2 linked regions of the Schizosaccharomyces pombe genome follow. The protein of the gene in region 2 purifies or fractionates together with the protein of the main gene of each other region. This does not show direct contact. Each region holds a gene or a part of one and is shown on either strand. Other genes may lie near its edges.

Region 1 (10,430 bases), on a different chromosome or scaffold from region 2:
CTTACAACGGAACTTGAATAGACAAAATTTCCCTTTTTTTATGTATTTATAAATAATTGGCATTGTCAAGAAGCATCATTACTTATACTGCCGCTACTTCGAGTTCTTCGAAGATTTGTGAACATACTTGACTCAGACGTGGACGGGCTAACAAGAGGCAGTTGTGCACTATGAGGCTTTTCAGGGAAAAGCAAATTACCTTCAGATTTCCTTTTGGATTGTTTCAAGGATGACGATTGATAGGGACCTTGACTAGAATTTTTACGAATAATTTGTTGATATTCTGAAAGCTGAAAAATCAAAGACATGTTGGGACCTATCCATGGAGATCGTTCTTTAACGTACTCATAAGCATCAGAAACATTTAGGTTTAATGTCTTCATTATAAACGCGATCATCAAACAAGCAGAGCGAGAAATGCCCATTTGACAATTAATTAAAACCTTTTTGTTAAGTTGCATGGCATTGTAAGCTACAAAAGAAACAAGCTTATCAAGTTCCAAAGCAAACTGTGTATCATGATCCCAATGAATGTGAACATATTCGATGTGATCAAATACTTGAATGTCCAGGTTATGTTTAGAATCTCTATAATGACGGCCATCAGTGCGAAATGGATGCAAAACTTCCTTCGCCACGTTTATAACAACATCAAAAGATTGAATAATGGGCATAGTAGGTTTGGCATATAAGTAAATATTTGGGGGATAGATACAAACAGGGCCATTGGGGTACGGCTGATTAGAATTGGGTTTAGATGCTTTCGGGAAAGATGGAGGGACAGGACACGGAGTAAACAATTGTGAATGACTAGCTTCCTCTTCGTTTTCCAACATATTTTTGTGGGAAACCAGGGGAAGTTGGGAGGTGTAAATTTTTAAGGGAGGTAGTTTTTGAGACATTCTCAAAGGAAGTTTTGATCGAAGCGGTTGTAAGGAAGACTCTTTTCGTTCTATATTTGTTGAGGACTTCAATGCACGTCCTTTCGTTTCAATTTGCTCTTCTGCATTTTCTTTCGCTGATTCAGAATTCATTTTGTGAGTTACCTTCAAACATTCATGGCACCAATAACCATTTCAACTTAGCTTCCTCTATAATATTTAACTTGCAAGAAGATAACTGGAGAATACAAATTTTCAGTGTTCTAATAATTGATGATAGACTGAAAAGATGTATGGAAGTATTGTGAGCTCCTACCAAGCTACAGCATTTGATGCTTTTCTACAGGTGACAGAGGTAACGCATTTTAACAAGTTGGTAAACTTGAATATAGAAAGATACTAAAAGTAAATACAGTAACGAGTTAAATTATCTGATTCATTTTATAAATCAGGTGCGAAATAAAGCTAATTAAACACAATGTACCATTTCGTCTTGCGAAGAAGACATCCACTTCCCAAATCTAAATTATCGTATATGGTTAAATAATGAAAAGATCTGCACTGAATTATCAATTTTAAAAAAATAGCATTGATGAGAAGATGAACAAAACCTCAAATTTTAAGACGTTCTCATACTATAAAGTTTGAGCAAGCAATGCAGCAAATAGAGATGCAGCCAGATCCAATAACATTAAAATAGACGTCCTAGTAGGATTAGCAACTTCTTAAAGAAATGAGCGATATAAAAAAAATAAAAACTTGTACGAGAGGGACGACAAATTAAATGATAGCACTCCTCAATCAATGTTTGTATGAACTTACATGTATGAGAAGAACCTGATTTACTTGATAAACACAAAGAAAAATTGATTCAAAATTAAACTTGTAATAGGCCGAACTAGGGGGAAGGAGTGTCTTGAAGAGAAGGAAAAGACTGTGATGCTGGAGACGCCCTCTGGGGGATAATAGGATGAGCAACTCGCAAAGACGTTGGTGATGGATGCAAGCTCGATTTGTTTGTAGAATTCGAGACATGACGGGTTGATGGATCGCTACGGTACCGGAAATGAGATGCAGCACTATACATTTGAGAAGGAGGAGTAGAATGTGTATGAATTTTTGAATGAAATCGGGAATCATCAGAAAAGAGAGTTGTTCTAACATTATGATGAGAAAGTTCATTTGATTGAAGATCAACTGATGGAAAGGGGTCATTTAAATGCAGAGAAGGCCTACCATAACTATCAGAGGCCATACGTTGTGGTGAAGAATCAACAGAACTGGTATAATTCAATGGTGGTGTATGACGGACAAGATCTAAAGAGTTTGAGCTTTCCTGTTGACTCAAAATAGATGCATCGATCGCTTCTTGCACCAAGCCAAGACACAATTCGGCAAGGCTTCGGCATAACGCATCCACCACACTCGATGGAGAGGTGTTTACCAAGGTGATTGCATGGTTTACAGCTTGCTCTACGGGCTTTAAAATGATGGGCGAAGGATGATAAGTGCGAAGCCGCATAAGAGCCGTTTGCATCGTGCTTAGCGGCGCCGGTGAGTGAGGTGAATGAGTAGAGGGTAAAAGAGAAGGGTAACTGTTAGGAGAACGATATGGACTAAGATTGTTATGATAGCCTAAGTAGGAAGAGGGTCGCTCACTGAGTTGAAGCTCTACTTGATTTAAGCGTTCTCGGAGATTTTCAAGCTCCTGAAGCACAAGGTTATTATCTGCAGTCGATACTTTTTCCAAAGACTTTTCAGAAACAAATTTCGCTGCTTTATGCTCCTGTATAGCATTATTAGACTTCATTGAATTCACGTTTGCATCCGCCAAACTCGGCCAAGACGGCGAGTAAAGAGGATTTTCATCTTTTGTAAAAGAGACCCCATTGTCTAAATAATTATTATCGCTATACATGGAATCTTCTAAAGGTTCTGTCATTAAAGATGCGGATCTCATACCAGCGCGCCATGGTGAACCTCTTGGAGTAGATTCGCGCGAATTTGAGGATAATTGATTAGCAGAGGCTTCATAATTAAGAAAAGGATCCTCTGCCACTTCCCTATCAGACTGGTAATTATGTTCAGACATGCGAAACCACCAGCAAGACGCTGGAGGATTAGAATAAACAGTTGCAAGACCAAGCTCGAATTTGCAAGAGATTCTTGCACTCTTGAAAGATAAAGAGTTGAAAGCACGAATTAACGAATAGAGTATGCACTCTGAAAACCTAACTTAACATACTGTCTTATACTATTTAAAAGTAATATTGCAAAACACAGCAACAAGACAGTTCGCTATTAGTTATCATAACGTATTTTAACGGGATCCACGAAGTTTTCCTGAATAAGCTTTTCCCACAGTTCGTTAGGATAACTTGCTAGTTTTTATTAACCGAAGCTTAATTCTAAGCGGCAACTTCGACTGTGCGGGCAAACAGTACGCTTCGTTACATGTCACTATGCTTTTTTAACTATTCCTAAAAAATCTTTAAATGCCTTTAACACACAATAATCGTTATTGTTTTTAGTGAGTGTATGGTTGAGATAGTTTGAAATAGGAACTACGTATTCTAAAATGCTACACTATTTAAGACAAATAGCAAAACATCTTTTTGTTGAATGAATGAATATATTTGGAAGAGTAATTGAGAAAATAAAGCATAATCCGAAAAATTAAAAAAGCACACCTAGTATATGACAACACTAATTTTCCAGTTGAGAACAATACAAAAGTCAAGATATCAATAACACCAGTGTGAAGCTACAAAATTACAATTTTTTTAATTCAAGCAAAACCAATTCGTCGAATTATCCTCTCAATTTAGACAATTACATCTTTAGTTACTGAATATACCTCAAGAACCAAATAGATGTGTTTTTTAAACAACATTAATAATTATGTACTACTGAAATTATCGTTAAAAACTATATAACGCAATAATAGACAATGCAGTAAAAAAGAGCGCTATGTAATAACAATTCCTCATTCCGCTTCGAGGGGCTTTCTAAATGGTTAAACTCCACTCAATTACCCTTGCTTAACTCCACGTTCTATCTCCACAAAATTCGGTAAAGTCAAATTAAGGATGATGCGACGACTCTCGGAATCCTTTGTTTATATCACGGTCCGACATCTTGCACTCTCCATACATGCTACATTAGTTATAAAAAAACAATGTCAATGCTTTCTACTTTACGTACTGCAGGTTCTTTACGGACGTTTTCAAGAAGCGCCTGTTACTCTTTTGTAAGTTGTGAATTGGCTCCTAAGCGATAAATCGCTGGTTTAAGCAGCCTTACTCGTCTTTTCATGATTATTTGATCGATTATATTAACAGAGTTATTTTTAGCAGAGATTTTCTTCAACGAAGGCTGCCGCTGGGACATATGAAGGAGTAAAGAATGCCAACGGGAACTACACAGTAACGATGATTGCTGGCGATGGCATTGGTCCAGAAATTGCTCAGTCTGTAGAACGTATATTTAAGGCTGCAAAGGTTTGTCGAGTCATCCGTCATTTAGTCATTAACGACTTGTATTGTAGGTCCCTATCGAATGGGAACGTGTAAAAGTATATCCTATTTTGAAAAATGGTATGTCAAGTATAAGAGAAGATGGTTGGATTTGTATGCAGTTTGGCCTTTCTTTTATACGTTTTTGTCAGCAATGCTTGTTCCTGCTTGTCAAGTCCTTCCATGTCTCCTCGAGATTATCGCGCACGAAAATCACGTTTACTAATTCGTTTAGGTACTACTACTATTCCTGATGATGCTAAGGAATCTGTTAGGAAAAATAAAGTGGCTTTGAAAGGTCCATTGGCAACCCCAATTGGGAAGGGTCATGTTTCTATGAACCTTACTTTGCGTCGTACTTTCGGCTTGTTTGCCAATGTTCGTCCCTGTGTATCTATTACGGGATACAAAACACCTTATGATAACGTTAATACCGTTTTGATTCGTGAGAACACTGAGGGTGAATACTCAGGCATCGAGCATGAAGTTATACCAGGCGTTGTTCAATCGATTAAATTAATTACTCGCGCAGCATCTGAGCGTGTTATTCGTTATGCATTCCAATATGCTCGCCAAACTGGCAAGAACAACATCACCGTAGTCCACAAGGCTACCATTATGCGCATGGCTGACGGTTTATTTTTGGAATGCGCCAAGGAGCTTGCACCTGAATATCCTGATATCGAGCTTAGGGAGGAAATCTTGGATAACGCCTGCTTGAAGATTGTCACCGATCCTGTCCCTTATAACAACACAGTTATGGTTATGCCCAATTTATACGGTGATATTGTTTCTGATATGTGCGCTGGTTTAATTGGCGGTCTTGGTTTGACTCCTTCCGGAAACATTGGCAACCAAGCTTCCATCTTTGAAGCTGTTCATGGTACTGCCCCTGATATTGCTGGAAAAGGTTTAGCCAACCCTACTGCTTTACTGTTATCTTCTGTAATGATGTTGAAGCACATGAATTTAAATGATTATGCCAAACGCATCGAATCAGGTATGTGTTTTACTAAATTAAGATTTTGTCTGTTTACTAATTACCATTAGCTATCTTTGATACCCTTGCAAACAATCCCGATGCTCGCACCAAGGATTTGGGCGGCAAGTCAAACAATGTTCAATATACCGATGCCATTATTTCTAAACTGAAGTAACATGCCCATTTTGTTTACTTCTTGCTATGAACACTGAATTTATGTTTCTTTCCTTATCATGAGTTTTCTCTCCTAGCCGATTTTTGTTACCACTTTTAATGAATTGTGTAACGATTTGAGTTGTAATTCGGAAGCATTAACTCTTTTGTATCAAAAAACCGAATTGATCGAAATGTTAGTTACAAATATTTCAATATGAAATCTCCATTTTTGAAATGCTTATTGCACTCTATAAGATTAATCAATTAGTTGCTTATATTTTATGACAGCCGCATACAATGCAGCCCATTAATTCATTCTCTGAAAAACTTTTGTAAAAGTAAATAAACTAGCGCCATCTTCCTTCTTCTACCTCTATGTTCATGTTGTCGCTTGTATTAGATTCGCCAGTCTCCATGGATGTAGTATTAGTTGTAACAGCTGTTTTTGGCACCCACGCCAACTCCAATTCTTGAAGTTTTTCAACGTTCCGAACTCCACCAAAAAACTAAAATTTGTTAACTTGAAATTTTTTCTGTCAGAGAAAGAATCAGCTACATACCTTTTCAGCGGAATTTCTATTCTGAAAACTGATAAGACGTTCAGTAGTTGAAGGTTCAGTAATTTCCTCATATCCTCCAACAGTGAATAAGTATTGCAACAAAGCTTCATTTTTTTCAGGAGAAACATTTATTACACGAAGCTTAGTTGGACGATTATCGATGGACATTGACGCAAACATATCACCTCGTCCGCGACCTCTGCCACGGAAAAATGTGTTGGTACCTCGCTGGGGAAGTCCTGAAGCGTAAGGATGATGAGAACCATTAGATGCCGCTGGGCTTTCAGAAACGTTGCTCACAGGTAACCCTAAGCAATCAGCCTCAGCCTTCAAAAGAGAATGCTGAGTTTCTAACAACATGAGTCTTTTGTTTCCTGAACGGTCAGTTTCCTTAATTTTTTGCATCAGTAACTCTTGTTCTTTTAATTGTTGCTGTGCAAGCTCGCGCTTTTTTTGGTTAAGTTCTTCTAGTGCCTTTTTATTAGCATTTATGCGTTTTAAACGTTCTTCGTGCTGCCTTTGCCTTTCTTCAATCAGTTTATGAAACTCTTCGTTTTGTAACAAAGAAGCAGGATCGACATCTTCAGAACTCTCTACATTCGACGAATCGGAAGTAGTGGGAGATTTATGGGATGCAAACTTCTTTGGTCGATTGTGAAATCCCTTTGACGGATTATACCAAAATATTTTAATAAAGCGATTGTTAAATATGGGCTCAGGCGAGGACCAAGCATTGTTGGCAGCCTCATGGGAAGTGAATTCTAACACACAAGAATGATGTGTCGGATTTAATTCGACTTTCTCCAATACACCGAACTTTGAAAAAAAGGACCTAATGTTCTCCTCATTAAAATGCTCTTCCGGAATGTTTCGCACTTCTAAAGCAGTACTTGTTGGATCATTGCCAGCGTTACGAGAGAAGCGATGTCCCAGATGGGGTTGGGGATACGCTTTGTATGGATTAAATCTTCGATTACCAGGAGAATGCCTACGAAGTTCACTATTATGCTCATGGCGCATGCCAAATCCTCTTTTACCTCGCATCTTAAATGGGGGAGGGAAAGGAGGCTGCGCCGCAGGATTAAATGGTAAGAATGGTATGGGAGGCATTGCAGGATTTGGTAAGTTTCCAAACCCAGGAATACTGGGCATGAATTCAGAAGGTGCTGTGGCTGCTGGATGGTACAACGGAGGTCCAAACATATTAGGCACCTGAGAGGGAAAAGTGTTTGTTTTTCCTACAGCAGGTAAAGAATTATTAAAATTGGTTTCCATGCTGTTGGTGGCAGGGATCATTGATGAAGTTGGCGAATACCTTGAAACTTCTTCAGTCACCATACCGGTTGACGGCATATTTGAAGCACCCTCCAAGTAAGATTTTTCACGTAAAACATCAAAAATTTTATCAACAAAAGGAATTGTCTCCTGTCGCAAAAAATCTTCTAGTTGTGAGTAGCATAACTGGCGAACTTCTTCTTCAGAAGAATCGTGCCTTAACAATGCCATAGCATAATCTGATAAAACACTTGCATCAGCATCAGAACTAGTCATTTCGTTAGCATATTGATAAACAATTTTTTAGCGTGTAAAAAAAAAAATCACGCAAATTGGCAACTCAAAAAAAATTACATACATTGGCTCCAACGCCTGTTCTAAATATCTTTTCAAATACTAAAAGCGTTAATTCGGCATCTTAAAAATAAAATTACCTCAGCATGTTCTTCTAAGAACAACGGCATTGTGATGGAGCAAAGTGCTGGTTGTTGGAGCGTTACGCATGGTTGAGCCAGTAAGAAAATATAGATCACATAAGGTAAAATCTTTAACAATTAGCCAGAAAGTTCAAAAAGAATAAACATAATACCAAAATAATAACAAATGTCTTAGCTAGGGCAATTGGCTGGGATAAAATTTAACTGAGTAGTCGACATTAGATAAGGAATAGGAAGGTTTGCATAATATTACTCGTATTTAGACTACTAATATACAATGTATTTTAAGTCAAACTCTGACGATTATGAGAGTTTCGAAAGAGTTCACTTGTCTCCAATTATTTCATTGATTAAATTGTCAGCACAACAGTGAGTAAACGTGTTAGCTATATGCACTTTTTTATATTTTAGCACCACTTATAAATAGTTAATTTTAACGGTGGAGTGATTACATTTATATTAAATTATTTGAAAACCTAACTCGTCAAGAGAGCTAATGAACGTCCGGTATAGTCCGCATGAGTAAGTTGAAAATTAAAAAAAAAGGAAGTCTCTACATAAGAAGAGAAGAAGTTTTGCTTATGTACATGCGAAAACGCTTTTTACCCATTTTTTAAAAAAAAAGGTGATGTAGAAAGAAAAGAAAGATTATAAGTCGGGAATGAAAGATAATAGTTTAAGTTGACAGAACAAGATAAGGAAGTTAAGTGACAGCAACTTTCAATTAAGCCTTTATTTAAACCCTTCCAATTAAGATGAGGCAAGTAAATGATCAAGATGTGTAATGAATCATCAACATCCTTTTTTTAATTATCCAACGATAAATCCTATTTCAGTGGGTCTGTAAAGCAATCTCATATCCCAACATAAAAGGAAATGTCCTTAAAAGTATCCTAATAAATTCAAATCGGGTAAGTATGTAATAAAAGTATAACGACAATAACTGATCAATAATATAGCGAAAGGCGCCAGCAACAACGGATAGCAAAAAAAAAAATAGCTGAAAATTTTAATCAAAATTTACGTTATGAAAAATGACAAATACTAGAACAGTATAAACATGAAAAGCATTAACAACGTTGAAAAGGAAATAAACGATCGCATCCTTTATAAATAGGATAAGGGTATAAGTAAATCTAGTTCTGTTTAGAAGAAGGAGATTCAGAGGACTCGTTACTCTGTATGCTATTGTTTTTTCTATGTATTGAAGCAAAATATGAAGAACGAAAAGCTTCCCAACCTTCGATCACCAATATGTCAAATCGTTTGCTTGATAATATAAGATGGACACCACAATCCAAAGGCTTTCTCACCTGGAACCACGGGACAGGAGTTATAACAAGGCGAATGTTAAAAAACCTCATCGCTTTGTTGACTTGTTGAACATAACGTGATGGATATACTATTGTAGTCCGATACAATCCAGAAAAATAAAAGAGCAAAAGTGTAACAATTCCGCATAAAAGACAAAGTTTGTAAGTCAAATCAATCAACGAGTATTTTGAGATGCGATAAAAGACGCGATAGCCAAAGTAAAAGTTCCACACCAATAGTGAGACATAGAAAGCCATATACTTTTGACGACGAACTTGAAGCTGTAGGTATGTTTTCCGAAACGATGCCTCTAAAATTAACAAGTTGTGATATACGGACAGGGTGTTGGGCACATAAGAGGACATGGCATTTTATTCACTCTTAACAATACGTAGGAAAAAGAATAAAAAGATATAAAGAACTTGAAAAACAGAATATAAGAAAGCTTTTTGGAGATAACAATAATTGGACAATATCCAACACCAATTACAAGAAGTCGTTATGAAGACCACAGAATGAGATATGTGCGTAACATAAGAACTAATTCAATTAGTAATAGTACAAGCCGATGATTCTAAAACAATAAAAGAACAGCCCTTCTAATTTGCTGATTCAAGTATCAATCGGATGGCAGATTCTAAAAGTCAATGTCAAAGCTACGCGCCGATAGCTATAATATCAATAGTGTGCAGCTGTCTACTTCGATATGTGCTATAGTAAACGATAGTAAACGTTGGTATACTGTATAACGATGCAAAATATAGTGAGGGAGTGTTAACTGTGTTCATTATTTGGTAAACATCAAAGTCTTAAAAAGTTCCGACCAATGGATTAGAAAGCTTTTACTGACATCTTTTTACTAAATGACTGCTCAGATATCAATTCTGTATTTAAAAAATCTTATGTTTGGATAAAAATATATAGGCCAAGTTTTTACATTGTAGTTTTTTAGCCGATTTAGCAATTAAACTCCCCTAGTTTAAACACGTTGGCGAAAAGATCATATATAAATAAAGAAATAAAGAACTCAATCAGCAATCCTATACCGAGTAAAATAGTAGCAGAAATAAGTTACGCAGCTTAACGTGTTGCAAGCTGAAAAAACTTAGTAGTGTTTGCAGAATTGAAGCATAAGTTTTAGGAACGACATATAGATCAATTTTCTATTTTCGTTTGTATCTTCTACTCCAAAAAGCCGAGCCAGGAATGTCGCACTCTAGAGTGTTGGGGTAAGTCGATTATCCTATTCACGATCGGAACCGCCGTAATTCCATCAACGATTTTTTACACATTAACCATAAATCCAAATT
Region 2 (11,050 bases):
AATTCGGCAACATCCTCTTCTGAGGGTTTAAATGACGGTCCATACTTTCTGACCAGGTGCTCCAAAATGGCTGCACTTTCAATGTAAGTGACACCGTCATCGACAACGATAGGACTCTTGCCTAATGGTGACAACTTAGTATACGCTGGGGGAGCACGTCCGTCGACACGGTCATAAACTTTGATTTCATAAGGCACTTTGAGTTCTTCGAGCATCCATACAATTCGAGTAGAGCGAGAGTTCTTTAAGTGGTGTAAAACAATCATATCTGGTTACAAAAATAAAAACAAAATCAAATTGAATACTCAAAATAAATACTTTCTAAGATGCAATAATTTCGATCAAAGAAGGGAAGTATGTGGGAATTGGAATGTATATATGGGTGCTGCTGCGTCTACACCTCATATGCACGTCAGTCACCGAAATATATAGTGGCGTATGCAACAAATACGCAAAACACTTTATGTTTGCTTAAGAAAAAGATACAGTAGATATAGGAATGAAATAACATCTTCATTTGAATTGCTATCACTAGTCCGTCATGAGCCCGCTGTAAAGGTGCAGTACTAGATTTATATGAAAGACCAATTTTACTGTTGTAGTCAGTACATTTATACTAAAAGAGCAGCAGTTGGATTTACTTGGCATTCTGACTGACATATGAAAAGAAGTTCAGTGGTTGAATATCACAATACAGAAGCCATATTTTACATAAATTGGAGTTACGGTTTTTTCATAGTTAACAACGTATACTGCCTTGTAAAACGTGGTGTTAACAAAAAAGTTATAGTACTAAATTTGTATACCGAATATTCCAAAATAGTTCATAGACAAGCTATCTCAAACAGTTCAAACTGTTTCCAAAGACCAAGCAAGATATAATGATTAGTTTTTGATTCCAATAATATATGTTACTCGTTATAACACATAAAAGATATCTTGATTTTTCCTCAGCACTGCTGCAAAGGACGATTCTTATCTAAAACAGGACTTGAATTGACTTAAATCTAAAGCTGGGTTGTTTGCTGTTAATTTTGATGCTCAAAAATCCAAAATCTTTTTGTAAAAATGATATTGTTTTGCTTTAAAAACCATCAATTTTCACTCAAAAATCACTGATTAGCTAGCTAATGCCAACTCCCTTTCATGAGTACTCCATACTTATCGCACCAAGACTTTATAAGATCTAGCGAAACATTTAAATTTTTCCGCTTCAGCCAAAGTTGAAATTCTTCCACATCAATAGCAGAATACGTAAGAATTTTAATCCACACACTATTGTCTTTGGCTTGCTTAACAACTTGCGAAATTGCTCTATGAGTCTGTGTCACTATATCATCAAACTCCAATACTGTTTTAGTAGAAGTTATCAAATAATCATGGGGAGTTTCTTTGCCTAATTTTTTAGACTGAGATCGGCTATCGATTGCATCCAAACAAGATTCTACTATCTTAATGAGAGTTGCTTTCGAATCTGATGATTTGAAGCCATAACTTTCCGCTATAGCACGTAATTTTTCAACCGGAAAATTCTCCAACTTTTCTTTTAATGATTTAGCTTCATTATCAGCGTTTTTGTTAGTGTCCATGTAACCGGCATAGTTTAACAGGGTTCTGCTACGGTCATTAAATTCACATGAAGTAAACTCTTTAATATTGTCCGTTTTTTTTTTCTTATGTGTAGCACTATCGCCTTCAAGAAACGAGTTTGACTGACAAGTTGAGTCTATTGAATGACCGGCGCTTGGATGCCTTTGCTGAATTTCATCAACGGTGGAAACAGAAAAACAAACGTTTTCAGTAGAATTAGCCGATTCACAAAGTTCTTTTATAAGAGGACTCCTGTTGGCTTCAATTGATTTATTTCCTAACTTCTCTAAAGATTTTTCGAACAATTGAGGCTTCCTATGGTAATAAAAACCACTAGAAGATATTTCTTCCCTATTTGAGTGATATGCAGAGTGCTCGAAAGTATTTCTGCATGAAGCACTATTTTTAATTTTGCTGTATCTAGATAAAAGGACATCATTATCTTCAGCTACCCGAGTGTTAAGATCGGGTTCTAAGATATCTGATTCATTGTCGCTAAAGGAAGAAAAAAGAAGAGGGAGATTTTCAGTATCAAAATCTTCTTCATCCACAGCGTTTAAGTTGTGCTCATGAACCTTATGTCCCGTACAATTGTGATGCACAAGCTGTTGAGTAGACTCAAAATCACATTTAGAAGTTATCAGCCTAATTTCACAACATTCAGTAACAGATCTTTTTCGTTTACTATTACAATCTTTAGGGTTTTTGTTTAGCTCTGGCTCTATTGTTATCATGTCATCATCCTAAAGCTCAGTTAATATACATTTACTTCAGTTCAATGTAATATTTCTAATCATTTGCTATAGAATATCATATTTTTTTCATACGTCCGTGAATATATCAGGAGAAGATGATACCTCAATGTATTCTTCAGCCGACATCCATTTAATGAAACTTAGCTTGAAAGCAGCGTACTCAGAATCCTAAAACACCAAGAAAACGAAAGAATATCCCAAAAAATGATGAATATTTAATTTCGATTGTTTTGTTTTGTGTACTAGCCTGAATTTGTCGAAAGTTTTTCGTCCAGTTTCTTATTTTGGTTTAGACAAGTGGCAGCAAAACCAGAATATGCTTGATATTTTAACTCATCGTCTGATAAAAATAACTAAATGGTTTCACAAAAATGCGCAATACGAAAATGAAACAATATTTAGATAAAATCTTATTGATTGAAATGCAATGCTTCGTAAACAATACATAAATTAGAAAATTACAAAAGAGAGAAAAAAGTTAGGTAAAAAGTGTATGCAAAAGATTTATGATTTGAATCCCAATTTTTTTCCGAAAAGAGTTTTCATCTTTTTGGATTCTTTGATAGAGCTAGATGACGACTTGGCGTTTGATTGTTCACTTTTTGCTTTCTTCTTAAACAAATGTAAAATATCATTAGCAGCAGATTTAGACTTCTTTTTTGCTTCAGTAGCAATGTTGTGAGTTATAGTAACAGTTGACCTTGCAGGACTCAACGAAGGCTGCGTAATTCTTTTGGCAAGTTTGGTTGTAGTTGAAACTGGCTCAGAACGAGGAGGAGGAGGAGCTTCCTTTGGAGCCTCACCATCTTTTTCTAAGCAAAACTGAATCCAATTATCAAGGCCCGAATCGTATGCTGAATATTCTTGAATCTTTTGATTGAAAAAGTTGTAACGTTGATCGGTAGAACCTAATTCACCCAATCCATCGAACGACATCAATGGACTCTTGACAAACGCATCTAAGGTAGCAAAGTAATTTAAATTAGTTTCACTATTATCAGCCTTTTTGGAAATTCCAGAAGAAACAGCATCCGCTGAAGCACCGGAGTTAATGCTAGGAGAAGTGGTCGACTGCTGAGTTGAATTATTTTCAGCACTTTTAGAATGAGAAGATAAACCTGTCGTGCTTGTCTTTAGAGATAGTGTGTCTCGTTGATCCTCTTCCTGAACGACTATTTGCTTGTTGGGTTTTGGAGGTTCTGGCAAGGATCCACGGCTTAAGGCAGCAACTTCTAACTCATCTCTATTTAATGGTTCAGAGTGAGACTTATGTGTACTGGAATTACTGGATATTGAAACTGCATCGTGAGCAGCTACCACTTCGACCTTTGTAGTTGTCGTTTCTTCAATTGCGGGAGCCTTTGAGTTACTTGACTCAGTGTGAGAAGTAGTCGCTTCAACAATAGTTGGAAGACTAGTTTTATATGGATATACGTCTTGTTCTACAGAGGCTATTGTATGTTCATCGTCAGATGACCCCTTAGTCCAAAAAGGGTCTTCGGTATTCAACTTGGTAAGAGCTGGATCGGGCTCCTCCGAAAGATAACCATAGATACTTTCCAAGCTTTCTGAGTTTTTCAATAGTGCTCCTTCCTCTAGGGAGTTGTTAGAAACCAAAGAAGAGCGTGGAGATCCAACAACAGAAGCAGCTTGAGGTTCAATCCCTTGCTCGACAGAATTGGGTGATGTATCTCCTTTCACATCAACTTTTTCAAGGTTCGATTTTGAAATATGTTTCTCAGCATTGTCCTGAAGTAGATTGGAATTACTTTGAGTTTTTCCAACAAGGGTATATTTTGACGAATCGACAGGCAAATCGACAGCGCTGTCAGAAAAGCTATCAGGTATTGAATCGATAGAGCTGATAGCATCAAAATTTCGCAAAATACGACTATGAGTACCCGGTTGTTGGGAGAAAGAAGGATCGTTCGTAACTGTCTCAACCTCCGAATTGGTAGCATTATTTTGTTTAAGTGAACGAATTGTGGCTACCTCATCATCCACATCTGAATCTTGTAATCGTAGTTTAAGATTTTCTTCATCCAACTCACCTGAGGGCTGCTTACTAGGAGAATAAAGAAATGGTGAATTTACAGAAGTTATAGATGGATGATGCTCCGGTTTTGAGAGGTTTTCATCCTTCTCCTTTTCAGCATCGATTCCAAAATCGTTAGATAGTGAGTCCGAAAGTTCTTCCTCTGGGTTTTGCTGCGGAGACTCAACAAATGGAATAGACAAGCTATCAGTTGACTTAGTAGTTTGTAATTGCTTGACATGAGTGTCAATATCTGTTCGAGAAAGCTTTTCATCAGGACTAGGTATTTGTTCAAACTTCTCATTTGAATGATTCGAGTGTGAGCTTGTTATAGAATACGCATAACCCTTATTAATAATTTCGTCAGTTGGTTTCAAAATTGTATTAGTAGTCATGTTCGTATCTCCCTCCTCGACTTCTTGAACAACCTCAGATTGCTCAATTGCTTGTTCCGTAACAGGCTTTGAACTAGTTTCCAAAGTAGCTTTTTCACTCGTATTATCCAATTCATTGGCATCATCGTTAGCGGTAGAAACAATATCTTCTTTCACATTATTAGCAATTTCTACCGCCTCGGCAGAGTCCGGCAAAGTTTGCTCCATTAATTCGCTATCTAGTACTGCATGATCGTCATTAGGAGATTTCTTATCGTTCAACGAGGAAGATAGGTTACTAAGCGTGTCCCCAAAGAAGCTGGTATGCCTATGATTAGGTTCATATACGACGCTACGAGTTTTTGAACTTCTGGAAGAGGTAGCCCTGGAAAAATTGGAGCCACTACCAGTCTCTGCAACTGAAGCAAATGAGAATCGGTTCTTATTTGGAGCACGAGCAAATACGTTTGATTCATTGAGCTCTCTGACACTTGAAAAACTATCTCTACCCTTGATAGGAGGTAAAGACTCGGGTATTTCTTCAGCCTTTTTATACCTAGAGAAACTTAAAGGACGGATAGCAAGATCCTCTGCTGGACTTGAAACAGATCTCCTCTTTACATTTAACTCTCTTCGATTTTCCATTTGTCGAATATCCGAGACCCTATTATCATCTTGACTTTGAGGTTGAATGGCTGAAACTTGTGATGATTGAGATGAACGGGTGCTAGAAGATGCCATGGAAGATTTGTAATCAATCGGCTTAGAATTTGGATCTTTTCCTAATTTCTGTAAAAGAAATCTCCTCTTTTCGGCCCATAACCGTGCACTTTCATCAGCGGAGACAACCTTAGTAGCAAGCGTCTCATGGCTACTAGATGCTGCTTTTCGGTAAACAAAAGTGCCAGGGTATGAAAAGTCATAATTCTCGTTCTCACTTTGCTCGCTAAAGCTACTTGCCTCGTTTTCAATATCATCCTCTTCCTCCTCTTCTTCTATAATGCGATCGGTTCCGTCAGAATTTAATTCCCTTTCGGGATTCTTTCCGATATTCTCACTACTGGTGAGATTACTTTCCTTATCCTCACTCTCAGATTCTTCACTACTCCATTCATTACCTTCATAACTTGGAACATTGGAAATCCATCTTCCTGATACGTGTCGTTGCAAGCCTGTGGCATTACTTTGCTTTTGAGCCGTATTTTCTTCCATTGACCTATTAAGTTTTCAAATATATAGTCATGGACTAAAATTCGCTTTTTGTTTACTTATAAAACCGTTATTGATGTACTATTGTTCATGCGTAAAGTTGGAGGTGAAGGGATAGTAGTAGATTGCTGACTACCACATAGTCACTGCATAACATTGACTTCGCCAGCCCCATACGTTAACAAGCACAAGCTTGTAGGTTATTTATTGTTTTAAGCACAAAAATTGTAAGCAAACACCTTTTCAGAATGTAGCAGATATTCATTGTTTTTGATGTGGCTTACGCGTAATCCTAGAAGCGTTTGTTGAAGAAATCAAAGTACTTTTAATATCTAATCAGCTAATAGGAATGATGAACAAATACATCAATCTTCAAATTTAACATATTAGTATTTACAAAAGTGGAAATTTATGATTGCTAACTTCAACAGGCCAATTAATACAATTTACCTAATCATTGTGTTTCAAAACCAACTTGTTTAATTTTTCATTACTCTTAGATTCTTAATAACTTTAATTGGAAAACGTTTCTTGAAGAAGGATCTAATTTGCTAATCCAACTTGGCTTAAGGACTTCCACAACATTCTGTTACCAGCTCTAATCATTTTTTTTTTTAATATCTGACTAATATTTATATGTTGCTCCAAAAAAGGTGTTTTCTGATCCTTTATGAGCAATCGAGATTCAGCAAACCCTCCAGGCTTTAATGACGCGGTGCCCTTAGCTATTTGCTATATTGATTCTTCGACCAGTTCACACGATGAGTACTTAACATTACTTCAAAGCAAAGTTTCTGCTCCAGATAAAAATTTTCGTGATGAGACAGTCGACGGAGCTCCTTTTTTGGCAGGAGATGCTATTTCCAAAGGCCACAGGTATTCACCACCTGTGCGAAGTGATAGAGCATCTGCTCAGGGTTTGTTACAACAACATCTTGAAAAATCAAGCACTCTAGAAAATTTAAAACGATATTCTTCTACTTTGCTCGGTCGGCAAAATGATGCAGTAATTGATGAGCCATTCGCTCCGTTTCGTCCTCCACCAAGAGTTACACTTTCTGAGTCTAGACGTGACCGCTGGTTGCAGGGTTTATCTGATCCCATGGTGCCCTTGTCTTCTCTTATTAAAACTATACCACATGGTCTATGGGGAGAAGATATATTACGAATGTTGGTGAAGTTTCGAGTCCCTTTTACTCGAGCGATATGGTTCATTCGATGCGCTGGAGTAAATGAGGCTCGTTCATTTTTACGAAAAGTCCAGACAACTGATATAACAGAATGGGTTAAAAATTGGACTGATGTTGCAGCGGGATTCTTAATTTCGTTCATTTCGTCTTTTCTAAACGCTGATATTTACTCGTTCGCTGATGATTACACTTACCTATTGAAGCTTTTTGGTCGATTGCTGGCTGAAGAGTTGGTTTCGCCTAAACATTTTCTATTAAGAATTGTTTCCTTTTCAGGGGATTCTTCTTTAAAATCCTTTAGTCTTCACTTTTTTGCTTTACAGTTTTTTTCTACAAGCCTGATCCAGTACACCCATATTTGTCGTAAATGTGTTATCACAATTCTGCAAAGTTATCAACAGTTAATTGTGGACCAGCCTGCTAATCTTTTGAAGTTTAGCTTGCTTTCAAAAAAAGTATCTCATTTTTTATTTACCTTGGCTCAAAAAAATATTGAGTCGTTCTTTTTTCCTACTGAATGGGACAAATTGAAACCTACTATTATATTATTATGGAAGGATTTTCCAAATTATAGCACGCTTTTATCTATAATGCAGGAAAGAAACTCAAAAGCCATGTACATGTACAAACCTGTCACAAGTAGTATTCGCTTCTTGCAAATTATTTCATGTCTTTCCTTTCCAGTGGGTTGGAGAACACTGGCTAAAGATTTGTTTAAACTTTTACCAGTTTATACAGGTGTGCCTCTTTTACTACATTGGTGTATCAATTGCCGTTCTATTTTTTCAGGTGATCGAAATTTCATCGTATCCTCAATTTTTGACAACGCCAATTTTGACAGAAATTTAATTGTGGATCTGACATTGTCGTTTGTTTTAAAATTGCATCCTCTGGAGTACAATGAATGTGTTGCGGCAGCTCAATTACTTGATCATCTCGCAGCATGTGGATACTTCTTCTTTTCAAAGTATATTGCTAGACTTGCTTCATTAGGTTACCTGAGGGAATCGATGCTTAATTCTTCTTTCATGGACGATCAGCGCAAGATTCTTGTTCAGTTGCCTATTCTTCGCATGTCTCAACAATTGAAGAACAAAATATATTATATCCTTTCCAAAGGAAATTACTTTGTGGATTGGTCAATTTGCGATGAATACGTTAAACGATTTAAAGAAGACCATTTCTCTTTCATGTTTAAAAAAGAAGAGAATTATGCTATCATTACCCTGAGTCTTGTTAAAATAGCATCGACACCTATGTCAAAGTTATATGAGGATTACCTGGTTATGCTTTTTGCATTTCACTATTCAATGTTTCAAGTAATGACTAAGCTTATTGCCGACAACTTGGTTCACTTCAGTTTTCAGTCTTGTGCGTTAATTTTTCTTTATAAAATTTCATCTTATTTCGTACTAGATGCCAAACTCTTTTCTTCATATGTTCTGTTGTGCCAAAGACAGAATCTCAAAAACTCCTACTGAATGAAATGGGAAAATTGTTCCAAGTTGAATTGAATTTTAGTTATGACTCACCCGATGTAAATTTGCTGATTGAGCAGTTTTATGAAATAACATCGTATGAATCAAACTATGACGATGCATTCGTAGAGTACAAGGATGCTACCGTTGCGAATAGGAAAGATTTCATTGAATTTTTGTTTCACAATATAACTGTCTCATCAAAACACACGGCAGTTATTTTCACATCAGACCTGCTTATGGTGTTAAAGATAGCTTTAAATCATCCCCCGTATTTTGATGACTTGGCAACTACAACTTTTTCAAGCTTGTTGAAACGAGACGAATGTACTATCCTCTCTTTTTTTAAAATACTACAATTTTATGGATGCAAGTTATTGTCGGTGGATCAAATATGGGCTGTTGTCAGTGATGTATACGAAGCACAAGATAATAATACAACATTGAAGCAATTTTTTAATTACCTTCTAGACGAAAGCACTTGGCCTGAGGGTTATCTTGAAGAACGACATTGGAGATCAATTTTATGTAAAGAAGCTCGGAAACATGATTCTGGGTTAAAGCTTTTCAAATTGGGTATAAAACTCTGTACCCGAAATGAACAAATAATGAAAACTATATGGTCCTTTATACATGTACATGATTGCAATGTCATTAGCGAGGTCATTCCAGATCAAAGATTTTTAAGAACCTTGACGGAACATTTCATGATAGATTTACGACAATTAGATATCGTTACATGTTTGAAAAAGGCATTGGTAACTTTGGATGAATTTTCGGCTCCTCTGTATGCGACCTGGCTTACAACTTTGGATGATGACGAGTTATCTGAATTAACTGACGACGTTGTTCAAAAAAAAGTTTTAGAAAGTTTGGACAATTACAAATCGGGAATTTGGAAGCTTGTCTTGTCAGGGCTTCCTAATTGCAAAACAGTTTTTGAGCACCTCTTATTGTTCAGTTTGGAAGAAAGGCTTGATTTACCAGCAGCCTTTCTCCAGGATCTTATTGGTGCATCAGCTTATGTTATGGAACAAGTACCAGATTCGTGGTTTTTAGAGAAACTGCCTTGTCCTTTAACCCAATCTTTACAATCTTTCAGTCATCTCAGCAATCATATTGAAGTTTTAGATTCTACTCGTCAATCCAGGTATGTACATTTTCTATATTCTAATAGTCACTAACATTGATACAGACTAACTTTCCTCTGTCATTTAATTTTGCATATGCATGGGTTTGTCGAATTGACTGATCAATTGGCTACTTTAGAAAGTCTGACAATACGCAAGTGTATATATCGTAATCAAGAACTGTTAGATCTTTTATTATTTAGCATCCATTTGGTTAAGCCAAATGTAGAAACAAATGATGAAGTTTGTAACACCTTGAAGGCGTGGGAGAATATCGAGTCACGTCCTTATACCATCGATTTTCCTGAAGCTCTGCAACAGTATTCACCTAGAATAGTGTTGTATGAGCCAACCTTTTGGTAAATATCTGATTTTGGTAGACATCTGTTTTCTTTCTTTTATTGGAAATGCCAACATGATGATTACTTGCAAGAAAATACTTCGTCAAAAAATAATCTATTACAGAAGGAATGGATTTTGATTACGAAGAAAAAAGTAATTCTTGAACAATGTGAATATGTAATACTTGACATTTTAAATTTTCTTAAATTTTCAGGTATTCCAACACAATCAAAAAAGCGATTAGAAGTACATATGCTGAACTTCATATCGAGTACTCTTTATTTAAAAGTTAGCTTTTGCAGCTCTAACTTTTTGTTTAAAACAATATCTGTTTTAGTTTATGATTTAATAACTTAATTTTTTTTTTTTTGTAATCGTGATTTATTTATTTTTTTAAAAGTTTAGATAACAGGTTCCTATGAGAATATTTTAGACAGTAACTATAACATTTGCTGCTTAATTTCACTATGCTAATTTTGTTTAATATTTTTTGTATACTCTTCAAATAAATACGAATTTGTTTTAGGCTGTTACTGACGAAAGCATTTGCTATGGCTTACTATTCGCGACAAGTGCAGTACAAAAAATAGTTGCAATTGCTTAACTAAGTTGTATCTCTGATAAACTAACTGTCTTAAATGAAATTAAACTTATAAATTTCATATGCTAATTAAATATATAAAAAATAGCTAATAGTTATCAGTTTTCATTTAGATATGCACAATCGGATTATGTTAAAATTCTCTAACGGAACCGAAGTTTAAAACCCTCTTATTTAAGATCAGATACATTATTTAATATTGTAGATTTAGTTATATTTTTGCTCCGTGTTTAACTCGAGTTTTCAAATAGCGTTCGGGAAGTTTATGTGAAGGTCCCTTGACATTAGTAAATAAGCCTCTTAAATTTGAGTAGTTAAAATACTACTAGTTACTATTAAGAATGTA

Evidence for each region. Proteins that work in one complex are often made in the same cells at the same time.
Region 1: the proteins of rng10 (region 2) and mto2 purify together in Schizosaccharomyces pombe (affinity purification with mass spectrometry, with the first as the bait; one study listed by BioGRID). This does not show direct contact.

What each region holds. Positions count from the first base shown.
Region 1 is NC_003423.3:487,285-497,714, reverse strand, and holds mto2 (gamma tubulin complex linker Mto2), read right to left. Parts: upstream 3,037-10,430; 5' UTR 2,974-3,036; coding exon 1,780-2,973; 3' UTR 1,704-1,779; exon of another isoform or gene 1,587-1,703; 3' UTR 1,292-1,586; downstream 1-1,291. Other genes in the region: dual-specificity MAP kinase phosphatase Pmp1, read right to left, coding at 66-902; idh2 (isocitrate dehydrogenase (NAD+) subunit 2), read left to right, coding at 4,060-4,131, 4,235-4,381, 4,429-4,477, 4,632-5,396, 5,447-5,553; MTREC (exosome adaptor) complex RNA-binding subunit Rmn1, read right to left, coding at 5,882-6,040, 6,095-7,637, 7,728-7,765, 7,804-7,833; protein phosphatase regulator Nem2, read right to left, coding at 8,943-9,485.
Region 2 is NC_003424.3:3,116,530-3,127,579, forward strand, and holds rng10 (protein Rng10), read right to left. Parts: upstream 6,080-11,050; 5' UTR 5,967-6,079; coding exon 2,850-5,966; 3' UTR 2,690-2,849; downstream 1-2,689. Other genes in the region: glutathione S-transferase Gst3, read right to left, coding at 1-266; structure-specific endonuclease subunit Slx4, read right to left, coding at 1,128-2,333, 2,418-2,471.